2 linked regions of the Styela clava genome follow. The protein of the gene in region 2 binds, or shares a complex with, the protein of the main gene of each other region. Links are inferred from orthologs where the notes say so. Each region holds a gene or a part of one and is shown on either strand. Other genes may lie near its edges.

Region 1 (5,807 bases), on a different chromosome or scaffold from region 2:
CATTTCGACAACTTAACGGCATTGTAGTTAACGCCAGAAAACGCATTAAAACATATACCGATTGTGACATAACAATAGAGCATTTTTTACTCTCTGAACTAGCGAAGTGTGTCGCAAAACAGTGGTAAATGGGCTGCCACCGTTAAAAAAAATTGTAACAATAAGGAATATGAATTTTTCACCCATGACAGCCGTGCTGACAAACCGGGACATTTGAGTCAACCGGCCGGGACAGCTCGTCAAAACCGGGACGTATGGTAAGCCTAATATTATCGGCAATCTGAAATATCGGCGTTTTGTTGGTATCGACGAAAATAGTGATAACGGTACATATTCAGTTTGGACTCATATATTTGATTCGATATTTGATTAATTAATTTAAAAGAATTAATTTGATAAGTGTCTAGATTGGTTGGGGACACCCGTCGCCCGATGACTGCTTTCGATAAGTCGACCAGGGCGAACAACATTTGTGACAGCTTCGATTGGTGCTTATTTACAGCTTAGCCTTAAGAGTGATGCACCAATTTCAAAAATAATTTTATTCACAGACGTATATTCAAGTACTAATATGCAAACAAATATATCAAAAATGACTGAATCAACCATCTTTTCATCTCCCTAAATTACACAAAAAAATGAAAAATTGACAACAAAACAACAAGCTTTGTAAAATTAGCTGGGGCAACAAAAAATAAGCAGCAATAGAGTAATAGATTATATAAATGTATTAATGAGGATTGTCACAAATGCTGAAATATATTGGTTTTGAATGAGACAATGCCCGAGAAGTACCTACTTATTTTATATATCCGGTCTTCTCCTGTGAAGATGATTTGTATCAGTTAATAAAACAACATAGAAAACTATACATAATAAAGTTGTGTGAAGAAACATTGTGTAAATTGCTGTCGCAAAAATATTTAAAAAAAATATGCTACTTACAGCCTTCTACCTGGATTATAAAATGTACTGAATGAATTAGGATTGAATATTTCCTTGCCAATGAATTTTGTTCCGCTCAAAAATAGATACTATTGCAAAGTGAATTTATAATAATGATATAAAAAGTATACTGATGAAAAGGGTGGATTGTATGCAAAGCATAGTGCAAATGATGATGGAGTTTTAACATATACTTCGGAGCAAATATCTCAACTAATATTTAGAGAATTATCAATATTTTTTATGGTCCAAAGTCTCTGTTCAAAATTAAGAAGATATTCCCCCGTGCTATATAGTCAGATAATTCCAACCAAAATCCCCAAAACAACTACATATATACATTTTTAATCAGATGCTATTCTAGAACTTTTCCAAATAAATTTTTTCTCCAAAGGAAGATATGTTTGTACTCAATATTTTGATAGTTTTAAAGCTTGAATTGTTTCACGTATCACCAGTCATAATCGCAATAAAATCTTCCAGGTTAATTTCGCCGTCACCATCAGTATCAAATTCATCAATCATGGCTCTCAATTCATCATCTGTCATATTTTCACCAAGTTCTCTAGCAACTCTACGTAGATTTCTTAATGATATTTTACCACTGTCATCATCGTCAAAGAGTTTAAAAGCTTTTGTCAACTCTTCCTGGGGATCTCTTTCAAGAATTAAGTCTGTCATGACATCATTGTAATCATCAAAACTGATTTTTCCAGTTTCTTCTCTGTCATTTTCTCGCAAAATTTTCAAGACGTCAGCTTTTTTTACTTCAAACCCTAATGCTCTCATTGCGACCTTGAGTTCGTGATAATCTATAAATTTATCCTTGTCTGTGTCAAATAATTCGAAAGCCTCTTTAATTTCTTGTTTCTGTTCCTCTGAAATCTCCCTCCGCTTTTTTCGTTTGGATTTTTCCAGTCCAAAATCTCCACGTAGAGACAAACTCATCTTGAAATTATTTTTTTAATATTAATTCTATAAAAGGCAATTATGAAGAAAAAAAAATGATTAGATTTTTTTTGTCAGGAACATAAATTCAGAACAGGCAGCATTGGATAAAACAGAGATAAGTGATTGCTGTTTTTATTTGTTTAATTACTATATATGGTAAATACGAGTACTGCCTTGACATATAATACATTTTTTTGTAACCATATTTTATATCTACTAATGGTAACTTAAAACACAATAATAGGCTAATCAAATGTCTTCTAGTAGTAAAAAACTCAAAAGTCTAATAAAACACAATATTGGCATTAAAATGGCACAAAAGTCTAGCATTAAATATTTTTTTAAATTTTTTAACAGTATTTTCAATGAATCAAAATATAAACAGTTCTGCAGTTCATAAATAGATGACTCAGAAGTTCATGTTCTTTTCCACATACAGACATAATACACACAAATCATTTCCTGCGAGATTTCTTATTCGTGACTTTGTTTATATTGGTAATATATCTCACATTAACTTGTGATTGAAAGTTTTCATATAGTTTGTCAGCCTATTGTTGTGAATATTTTTACATGAACTAATCCTGGGGCAACCCTAAAATGCGGGAAACGGGAAATGCACTAAAATGCGGGAACTGCGGGAACGACGGGAAATTGCAAAAACTAAAATGCGGGAACTACGGGAAATTTCACTAAAAAGCGGGAAATTTCACAAAAAGCGGGAATGACGGGAAATCGCTTTAAGGTACGGGAAATATTCATGCAGAAAAAATAAACTATCACTAGCCATAGAATTACAGTAGTTTCATGTTTTCCTTCTTTTATATTTGTACTACCGTACATGTATTATGTTTTCTAAAAAATCTAATAGGATTACGGTACCGGTACTCTATACAAGGACAAAAGCTATGCAAGCATGTATGGCCAGGAAAGTCTAATCCCAGAACAGCAGAAGTTGTCGTCCAATGCTGTATTCAACAAATGCAATATCAATATTGTTGTGAGAATCAATAATAATTACATATAGTCTACATACCTTTTCTATTCCAAACTCAGCGCTAGAATTGCAAAGTATTATAAAAGTTCAAACGGAACCGACAAAACAAAAACACAATCAAGTCAAAACTGACGGTTAGTGGCGGTGTTCAAATTCACAAGGTGGCAGCATTGAGCAAAAATATTCGTGAAAGCTTTGTCATGATATTCAGTTAACCATGCTAACTATATTCAGTTAACCATGGTGCGGCGTTCATTGTATGTGTGTATGTTAATTTGTCTCACTGTTTAACAGCGTCTGTATAATAAATAAACATAAAGATGTCAGATGTGTTGTGACATTCTCATATTCTCGGCGTATAAAGTCATTAGTAAAGCTATAAAATCACAAGTATTGTCAAATCTAATTTGTCTCAATATGGATGTCGTTCTTTTACAAAATTACGTACGATTATGATGATATGTGATTAATATCATTGCAGTCTTGGATTTCTATTCAGATCCCAGCGATTCATATGAAAATCCTATCCATTCAATAATTACACATATGCTATCGACCAAAACTTGCAATGAAACTGATATTACAGAATTCAAAATACAGATTTAGAAGTTAAGATTGATTATTTTGCAGACCTCTCCTTTTTTGTATCTGTGCAGCTGTGGCTTTGCAGCTTTTGTAGGGCTGAAGCCAAAATTGTTATACCGAATGTCTACATTCTTCCATTCCTTTACTAGAGTTTTATAGTAAATTGATCAGCTTGGTTGAAGACTATGTTGGGTCGAGGGATTGAAAAGGATGAAGAAAAAGAGGGGGAGACTGTAGATGAGGATGCTGAGATTCTTCATAATATGATGGAAGCAGGATGGAATTTACCTCTGGCATTTCAACAAAAAAGACACTTGGAAAGCATCACAAGTTCAAAGCCAGTCACACAAACATGGAGAATGAAAGAAAGGGTAATTGTTTAATTTTGTTGATAGAGGTGCGTTTTATTATATGATGTTTTGTAGGTGTTTCTGTTGTATATTATAACTGTCAATTTTGTTCATTATTATTTAATGATAATTGTATTATTTCATCCAATGTTGCATTTTTGTGAAACATGTATGCATATCTATTCATGTAGATCGAATGTTGAAATGTATATTCAAATTAAATTAAGCATTGTATCAAAATTTGTGTTTTCTTATATAAAACCCTTCAGCGGAATATTTACTTAGTATGGAAGATATTCACTCAATTGTGATGTTACTGGAATAATATTATTATTTGAATAGTTGAGAATTGGTTTTATAGAAATTCTATTAAATGCAACTATTACTTTAAATATAAATATTAATTTGCTATGTATTAATGTTCTTTCAACTAATTCCTTTAACAATAACTGAGTTATTATTATTCACATTATAAACATATAAATAAAAATTTCAAATAAAACAGTACACATTTTTCATTACAAGTATAAACACTCTAATACAGCGGTTCTCGGCCGGGGGCCCATGGCCCTGTAAATTGGCCACAGAGCAGGGCGCAAAACTGATTTTACTTTTCCCTTGACAAGAAAACTTCCTGTTGTTCCTAGTTTCATTGCTTGGAAATGTTATTTCACATGGTAGATTCATTTTGTTGAACATGAATTGTTTGAACATAATGGGATTTGGAATCTACCCATCAAAGTAACACTATAAATACCACTGGAATGATAAACAGGGGGCCATGAGTGCTGAAAGCTTTCGGAAGGGGGCCACGAGCCATCAAAGGTTGGGAAACACTGCTCTATTGCAATCATTGTATAATATGGGCATGCATTTTTTTAGCAAGGGATTGATTGGTGATTTTATCTCAGTACTATATTCAATAGTAGCACATTTTATATTTTTAGATGAAGACTGTCAGCGTTGCACTTGTTCTATGTTTAAATGTTGGTGTCGATCCTCCAGATGTTGTGAAAACAACACCTTGTGCCAGACAAGAATGTTGGATAGGTTTGTTTAATTAAAATACTTTGTTTATTGTAATAAAGGACTTGAATTATATATAATTTGTTTCTTTTATTATAGATCCATCTAACTACACACCTCAAAAAGCATTGGAAGCAATCGGAAATAATTTGCAAAAGCAGTATGAAAGATGGCAATCAAGAGTATGATGTTTGAATATTATACTTTGAAAACTTAAAATATTAATAAATAGGTTGACCAAATCTCAGACTGAGATCAATGATCAGTGTTGGATGAGATTTACTTGCCATTCAGACAGACCCAGGAACTCTATTAATAGGATAGTTGACATTCTGTTAGTATTTTAGTCTCTGTATCTGCATTCATTTTACTACAGGGTTTCTCAAATAGGGCTCTCGGCCCCCCAACGAGTGGTTCTCTCGGGCCACAAGCAGGGCCTAAATAGATTGACTGTGATTTTACTATAATGCATTTACTTTCTTTTGTTGAATTTTTTAATATTAAACATGGAACATAAAATAACTGATCAAAATGTAACTTCAAAATTTGGTATTTTTATAGAGATGCAGGGGGCCATGGATTGTGAAAGTTTAAGAATTACTGTTTTAATACACCCCCCTGTCTTATCATTTTGTATAGAGTTTTAATGTATTGATATATATTTCGCTGACCAGATTGTAACATAAAAATTATAAGTCACCTATGGTAAGACAATATATATTCATTCACTTAGTATATTACAAAACAGTTATGTATTTATTATTTTGTAGGCTCGTTACAAACAAACTCTAGATCCGACAGTTGAAGATGTCAAAAGATTATGTACTTCATTGCGAAGAAATTCTAAAGAAGAAAGAGTTTTATTTCATTATAATGGCCATGGCGTTCCGAAGCCAACTGTTAATGGTGAAATTTGGGTATTCAACAAGGTACTTCTTTTTCCTAATACATGT
Region 2 (7,885 bases):
TGGAATTCGACCAGTGTTTTGTATTTCTTATGTTCACAAAGTGAGACAGCAAGAGTTCTCAAGCAATCTTTTCTATGATCAGGATCTGGGTTTAGTACTATTGCTTTCAGTGCATTACAATGCCGCTGTAGTAGGTTACTCTGTCGAAATATACTCGACCACAAAATGGACACATTCGGATCATGCTCTTGTGATTTTGCAACTTGAATGGCATGTTCTGCCAAAGTAATCACTTGTTCAGGTAAATCTAATCTCTCAAATATCGGTAAAACTTTGGTATAATAGATAATTTCTTGAGCTGCTGGGTGGAAGTTTTCTTCATCTTCTTTCAGCAGTTTGTTAGCGAGATAATCCTCATTGCTAATCCCTGACGATGCCATGATAAAGGATTGAACGGCTTTATCAAAGTTTCCATTATGAAGATGACAGTGCGCTAGCATGTATCTTTGAGACTTTGTGCTCCAGTTGCACCAATCGCCAAGCTCTCGCTGGATGTATCTTTGAAGGACAGTGTAGTGTCCATGAGAGAGCAAAAAATCTAGCAGGGTGAGTGTAGGCCCAAGCGGCCACATAAGGTAAACGACAAAGTTGACAAAATTTGTAACCAATCCTGAATGTAGGATGTGAATACCTTGTCCTTGTTGGTTCTGCAGATATGCTTGTAAGAGCTTACCTCCATCAGATGAAATAAAGAATTCAAGTACGGTTTGGTGTCCTTGCGCAAGTGTGGATTTTGCCTCTCGGTCTATGCTAAGTGTTGAATCATGCACGGATAAAGTTTGCATGGTGCTTTCTAAAGTTGCCTGTGATATGTTTTGTGTTTGAACAGTAGATAACCAGAACATAGCTTGATAAGCTTGCACAAAACTAACAATTCGGAATCCTAATTGAGTGTCTCCTTCTTGTTGTATATGACCATCTTGCCTCTGTAGAGTTTCTAGCAATGAGGAAAGTACATAAAGCAGGATGGAGAGTTGGAAACGATTTTCAACATGTCGCATAATACAACGCGATATAAATTCAACCCCCAGTGACCCTGCTGGCCAAGATTGTAAATCTGGCATATCAAAATCGAATGCAAATTCTGAAGGGCTTAAGCAGAGCGTTAGCATTTTGACAGCAGACGAAACATCATTAATTTTGATGATAAGATTATCCCATGTGTCGTTTCCTGATGATTCTCTTACAGCACCCTGAATATCTGGCATCATATCTTCTATGACATCAGGTGGGGAATTGCCAGCCAAACATAAGCTCTGCTGTATTGACTCTACTAATTCCGCTCCTAAATAACTATGTAATTTTCCAAGGCTTTCCAATAATTGAGCTAAGTCATTGAGATTGGCATCTGTGCAATCGTCCGGCTGTAAAAATGTTCGAAAAATATCCGGATCAGATCCACGGCAAACAGCTTCAAGTGGTGAAACGGGGGCTAATATCATAAGATAACCTTTTTTGATGACGGATACAAGACTCTGTGAAGAACCGTGATTGATTATCAGCCCCAAAGAACGAGACACAACTTGCTGATATTGAATTAGATCTTGATAAAATGAGTTCCACACTGAGACTTGCAAAGCATCCTCATCCATTTCTTCATCCGGAATTATTTCTTGAATCGCATTTTGAATATGTGCGGCAACTCTTTCCTTCAATTCTTGTGGTTGGAGATACGCCATGTTCGATACGTTTGATCTCTGATGAATAGATAACGTTCGAGTCAATGCTACAGGGCTGAATTTACCTGAGCTAAATATGTAATCCATGTAGGCCTCTCCGACATCCTGATATGGAAGAAGTGGAATTTCTAGAACTGGTGATGGGTGTGAAGCGACTTCATGCCATACACCTACATCAGCAGCACACACTGAAATAGAATCTACTTCTTCAGTATCACGCCACAAAGTAAATATTTTATTTGTTTCTGTTAAAAAATAATCAACCAGATGGCGGTGTGGTAGTCCTTGTGGTGAAAGGGAAGCAAAAACAACGGACAAAAAATTAGTTTCCAAAGTACCAGTGCTTGAATCCATTTTCACTTGAAATTGAAGGAATCCTGCTTGATCCGACATACAAATATATAAGCTTATCATTCCAACTTCGTTGACAACTCTTACTTTGAGATCCACAGCTTTCGATTTGTCACCATCATCTTGAAAATGTGCTGATAGGTCATAATTCACAAGCATATCATGGGTTTCAAAAGACCAAAGTCGCAGTTTACGGTCTTTACATGCTGCAACGACGTATGGGTGATTTTCAATCACGAGTATTGCAATATCAGAGATAGTTTCAGTGCCGGCTGCTTCACCCCATGGATTAATACCGGACCATATTCGTGACATCCTTGACGCTTGGTAGATATTTGCAATAGTTGGAGGAGAGCGACTTGTCATGTTAACAAGCGCCATATTGCCTTGATTGGTTTTCAACGCAACAGCAGTGTATGGGTCACCTTTATCCGGAAGCATCGTTCTTACTGACCATTCTGTTACAAGTCCCTGAATTTTTTCGCCAAAATAGAAGTTTTCAAACTCATTTTCAAAATTGAAAGTCGCTAAATTTGAAAGTAAAGATGGATAACTGACCCCTGACTTTGGTCCAGATCGCCCAGTTGACAAAGTATCAATTGACATACGATGAACTGCATGAAGAGTACAACAAGTGATGTATAAGCGATTTTTGAACAGCGATACATCAACTCCAGGTATTATTTTAGTTCCTTCGAAACTGATGATAAAATGTGAAGAAAACAAATCCACATCGAGAGAATATTCAAAAATTTCCAGAGAATTTTTTTGAGTGCGCCAACAAATCACTCTCGTTGAATCTTGCAATTGTAAGGTCACACCACCACCGGATTCAGGAAATGTAACATTCTCGGATGCATCGACTGGACCTTCTCCTTCAGGAACTGAAATTTCTTGAGCAGGTCTTTGCGAAAACTTTGAATGTATAGGAATTTCTTGAAGAAACAAGGCTGGATCCTTTATATCCATGATGTTATATTACAAACACTATCTAAAAGAAAAAATATATAAATCATGGCGTTTACTTTGCAGTGAGTTGCTAGAAAAATAACATGTAGCACCAAATCAACATCACAAATAGTATCAATACATACCGGTAATAGTTGAATAATTAAATGGCAATAGAAGAAAGTATAGAATACTTATCAGGTTATAATCACAAATATAAAGTGTTTTGACATGACACTAATGCATTCCAAATAATAACTTTGACTAATTTTTTTGCATGGGATGATTTTTTGTACAAAAATCAAATTCAAATTTTACATTTGAAATATTAGTAGCTAAGCTAGTCATATTAGTTGGCACCAAATCGATTGGTTTTTTTAATTCTAAAAGGAATTACATTCATTCAAAAGGCAGAGGGTACAGAGTCGGTGAAATGATTGCATAAATTGTTACCCGTCACCCATTTATTCATTTTGTAAATAAATATCTTCAAATATGATGTCAAACCCAAACCACCAAAAAAATTTAAAAAAACAGTTATACAAATATTTCATCTGAAAATTGAGCTGGCCACAATATTGCTGACATTGACAATCATATTTGAAGCAAACCAGACAGTTGGAACATAAGTCACAAAAATCAAATAATTTCCACATTTTTCATAGTTTTGGTCCAGGTTTGGTAGAAAATAATTGCTTTGAGGAATTGTTCAATAAATTAATACTGTAGTTTGAGCCGAAAATCAAAATAACCTTATTAATACCAAGACTGGCGAATAAGGGTACAATTCCAACAAATAGTATTTATAACGATTTTTTATCAACTGCTGTGTTCTTAAAATTGAATTGTTATATAGCGCATTTATGATTCATGTTATGCAAATATACAATACATGCTACATAAATCAAATTGAGTAGCAAACTGAAAGAATACTAAAATACTGACACTCAAATTCAAATCATCAAATAACTTAAGTCGAACCACGATTTTCAAATTGTGATTGAAATGATCAGGTTAGTATTAGAACACTATGACTTCTGAAAACCCGCAAAATATATTCAAATGAATCGGGACCAAAAATCCAAGCCATCCTAACAATGTATTATTTTGGGTATGTTTAAAATTAGCATAGGTACATAAAATTAGCAAAAATGCTATTATGAGTTTAGAAACTATATTTATATGATTCAGGACCATTTAAGGATAAGAATTTCTCAGTGACATTTGAAATCAGTGGGAACTTTACTGTTGTATCATTTCATATATTTCCCCAAACAAAGATTTTTACCAAAATTATTTTTATGGCAAACAAAGACATATTCGGCAACAAAAATATGGCGTATGTGATATTGAGCAAATTATCAAAATTTAACAGATATATATTATTTACAGATACCATTTAACAGCAATATCATTATTAACAAAACGGCTTCGAATTATAGAAAAGCATCATTGATTGACAAGACTAGACAATGCGATACCATTTATCATACAGTCGCCATTGACTGGCACAACATTTTGATCAGACGATTGTTCTTTTCGTTTATTCGAACAATCAGTTACCATTTTATTCAATTCTCCTGCATCATAACCTAGTAATTCTTTCAAATTGCAAACAAATTTATAAACGAAGCGCTTTGAAGGTACTTTACTGATCATATCGCCATCGTAATAATAACGCAGAGCCCGAGAAAGTTTTTCATAATTCATAGTGGGCTTGCCTTTTCTTTCACCCCATTTTTGAGCCACCATTTCGGGTTGTAAAAATTTGAATTCCCCTTCATCTCCCAACCACATTATGACGTGTCGTTCGTCTGCGTCTGTTAAAAGTTCCAACAAAAATTGCCAAAGTTGAATTTGGCCTCCGCTGTTGTGAGAACGTGTACTGATTGGAGCACCTTTGTCTGATGAAATTATAGCCGGCGTTCTTCTTGGAGCCCGCCGTGCGTAATTGCCTGATATGTTCGTTTGTTGATCATTTAGAACTAAATTTAAAGCCATATTTTCAGAATCGTTTTCTATTTCTACATTATGTTCACCATCGTTCGTTGATAATCTTTTCAAAAACGACAAGTGTGACCATAAAATATTTCCATATGGCAGTTTCACAAAAAATTCTTCAATCGTTAATGAACATAATTTCTTTCCATCCATTCTAGAATTTTTAATGACAGAAGCATCTAAATTAAATTCCTTTGCCACCCAGACCATCCAGCGAAATACTTGATCTGATGTCCATTCCATTGGGTCACAAGGAATACCAAGTTCCTCTTTATTTTCTGATGAATCTTCGTTATTAGAATGTCCATTTTCTGAGAGTCCACTTTGTTGACCGTTCAACGCTTGAATGTCTTCATCGGTCATATTTTTCGTAATTTCAACAATAGTCAATCGCCCATTATCAGTTTGTACTCGAATACTGAGTTCGACACTTCCCGAAACCTTTACGCCTTGCTGATACAAACTCAGTTGTGGATTAAGTGGAATATCTTGTAAATAAATTTCATAATCACTCAAATCCGCAGATTGTAAACGATTTTCAACCAATTGCTGAATATTCAATATTTCCACTCCAGTATCCAGTTCAATAGTGATAACAGAATCAGTGTGGGATCCATTATGTAACTTCGCTGGCATCCCAGATTTCCGATTCACTTTTCGTCTTTTTTGTTCCATTTCTATTTAGTTTAGACAAGTGAGATTATTCTATGACTGTATAACATAAAACATTTCAGGAAATTAGCGAAAACCATATCTTTACTGGTAACGTTATATTATTAAGAATAATATTATGCTTGGCATACCGCTACCACTTCACCAAATGATAGTTCATACACAGTATACAGGTATATCAGAACAAACGAATGACCTTCATCGCTAATTCTGTAACTGGTTAGCTAAACGAATACCGGTACCGGTATGGTTTATGCTGGAAACTAGGTGAGAATTGTTGACTGGCCAATTCGTCCCAGTTCTATCACAACATAATTTTTCCTATTCTTAAGATATTTATATCTACATACTGGTATTCTACTATTAATCTACCGTATATACGTATACGCAGATATGAATAGTAAATAAACAGATGAATAAAACTGCTGAACTAGAGTTCAAAAAAACTTCAAAATTTGGGTGAGCGAACACGTACTACTTCTTTTATCAATACCTTTCCATCTAAAATCTGTACGTTTCAAACCTTACTCGGGGTTTAGTTCGCTCTCCCGATTCTATAATCAGTTACTTTTATCTTATTATTTCTGATTATGGAGTCGAAATAAACTTATAACCTAAATATATACTTTTACTTATTTTCGAATAATATTAGAATGTTGAATTTTTTTTTAAATGGATCCACAATGTGGATTATTCAAGAAGTAAACAATCGATAAATTAAGTATAAATAAAGACATATTGTGTACCACAAGTGAACAAACATTAAGAACATATATATCAGTAATATCAAAATAATTCCATTAGATATAAGAAGTTAGCCATGCTTAACCCAACAAGAGAGATATGCTCAAATATATGGACACGTTTGAAGTAAATGAAAGTAATATCCTTCTAAAGAAAATTTTTATCTTCATGCACTGAAAATTTCAGAGCAATACATACATTGGTCCAGGAATTAAAGAGAAAAGCGACTTTATAGGATTAGGTAACAAGTGGACGTGGCTTTCCACACGTTTTCTCACCACTGAGGAGGCGGAGGCACTGCCTCCACCCCTAATGCCACTTCCCAAAAAATTCCCGTTACCCGGGCAAACGGTCTCTAAACGCCAAAACAGCTCGTGTGACTAGATCGATGACTTGATTGACAGGTAGCCTACTCCGGGCCACTAAAAGCCTGTTTTGTCCCACTTTCAATGTGAATTGAAATACTAAGTGATTTAAATCACTTATCCATTACGGTACCAGAGCAAAATAAAAATAAATATCGATTCCCCGATAATCATATGCGGTAACTAACCAGTACCTGAAATTCGTTCGAAGAACGGTTCTTCCTTGTCATATAAGAACTCAATTTATTTCCTCTTATCAAATAAAAAAAAAATAAGGTAGGCAACAAAATTTATGTTGTTTACATCAGAACTGTAACGAAAAGCTGAGAGCGTAATTCACTGCGGTACCTTACCAGTACTGCAGGGGTCTGGTATAGTTTAGTACCACATCCACTTCTAGTTGGCCTGGCTCATCAATTTTTGCATATGTCAATCCTAACCCCCACCTGACTACGTCACCGAAAAATTACGTCATTCCTACATCACAGTGGCGCAATAAGGCCCACCGAAGTATGCGGATGGTCGTCCAAAGCACGCAGACAATCACCAGAAATCGAGCAAGCTATTTCTCTCGTTTTCTCGTCGCAACGATCACGATAGGAGAAAGATCGCGTTATCGGCGGCGCATATGCTATTTTGGGCGATCGTAATTATACTTTGGCAATCCCTATGACGTGATGGTGACGTCGTAGTGACGTAATTTTTGGATGGCATAGTCAGGTGGGGGGTTAGGAATAAGATATCGTCACGCTAATAACCGAATTGCGTAAGTCATTTTTAGCAGTTTTGAGAAAAACGTAAAAAACTTTCTAATGATATTGTTATGTCATTGAGAGTCAATAATTTGTCATGGTTCAATATTTTGATCGTAGCTGGATTTAAGTTAATTTGTATGACGCAGTTAAATGACGTCATAATGGCGCACTGTGACTTGGGCAGAAATGTGACTGTGACTTGGGGACATACGCAATTTTGGGGGCTCCTGAAGTATGCGAACCAAGTTGGCGGACATCGGAATGTAATATGTGTACTAGGTTAGGGTTAGGCCATAATTTTAGGTACAAATACTACGAGAGGCACTTGGCTAGTCTTTGAACTCATAGTAGGACTAAAATCGATCGATGT

Evidence for each region. Proteins that work in one complex are often made in the same cells at the same time.
Region 1: nuclear pore complex protein Nup160-like (region 2) and centrin-3-like share a complex: the UniProt entries of both Homo sapiens proteins name them as parts of the nuclear pore complex. The link is inferred for Styela clava from reciprocal best matches to the Homo sapiens genes NUP160 and CETN3.

The regions. Positions count from the first base shown.
Region 1 is NC_135263.1:8,826,992-8,832,798, forward strand, and holds centrin-3-like, read right to left. Parts: upstream 1,953-5,807; 5' UTR 1,894-1,952; coding exon 1,390-1,893; 3' UTR 528-1,389; downstream 1-527. Other genes in the region: regulatory-associated protein of mTOR-like, read left to right, coding at 3,664-3,849, 4,776-4,878, 4,954-5,036, 5,625-5,783. UniProt on the Homo sapiens protein: Plays a fundamental role in microtubule-organizing center structure and function. As a component of the TREX-2 complex, involved in the export of mRNAs to the cytoplasm through the nuclear pores.
Region 2 is NC_135250.1:6,156,771-6,164,655, forward strand, and holds the start of nuclear pore complex protein Nup160-like, read right to left. Parts: upstream 3,022-7,885; 5' UTR 3,000-3,021; coding exon 1-2,999. Other genes in the region: GA-binding protein alpha chain-like, read right to left, coding at 4,428-5,654. UniProt on the Homo sapiens protein: Functions as a component of the nuclear pore complex (NPC). Involved in poly(A)+ RNA transport.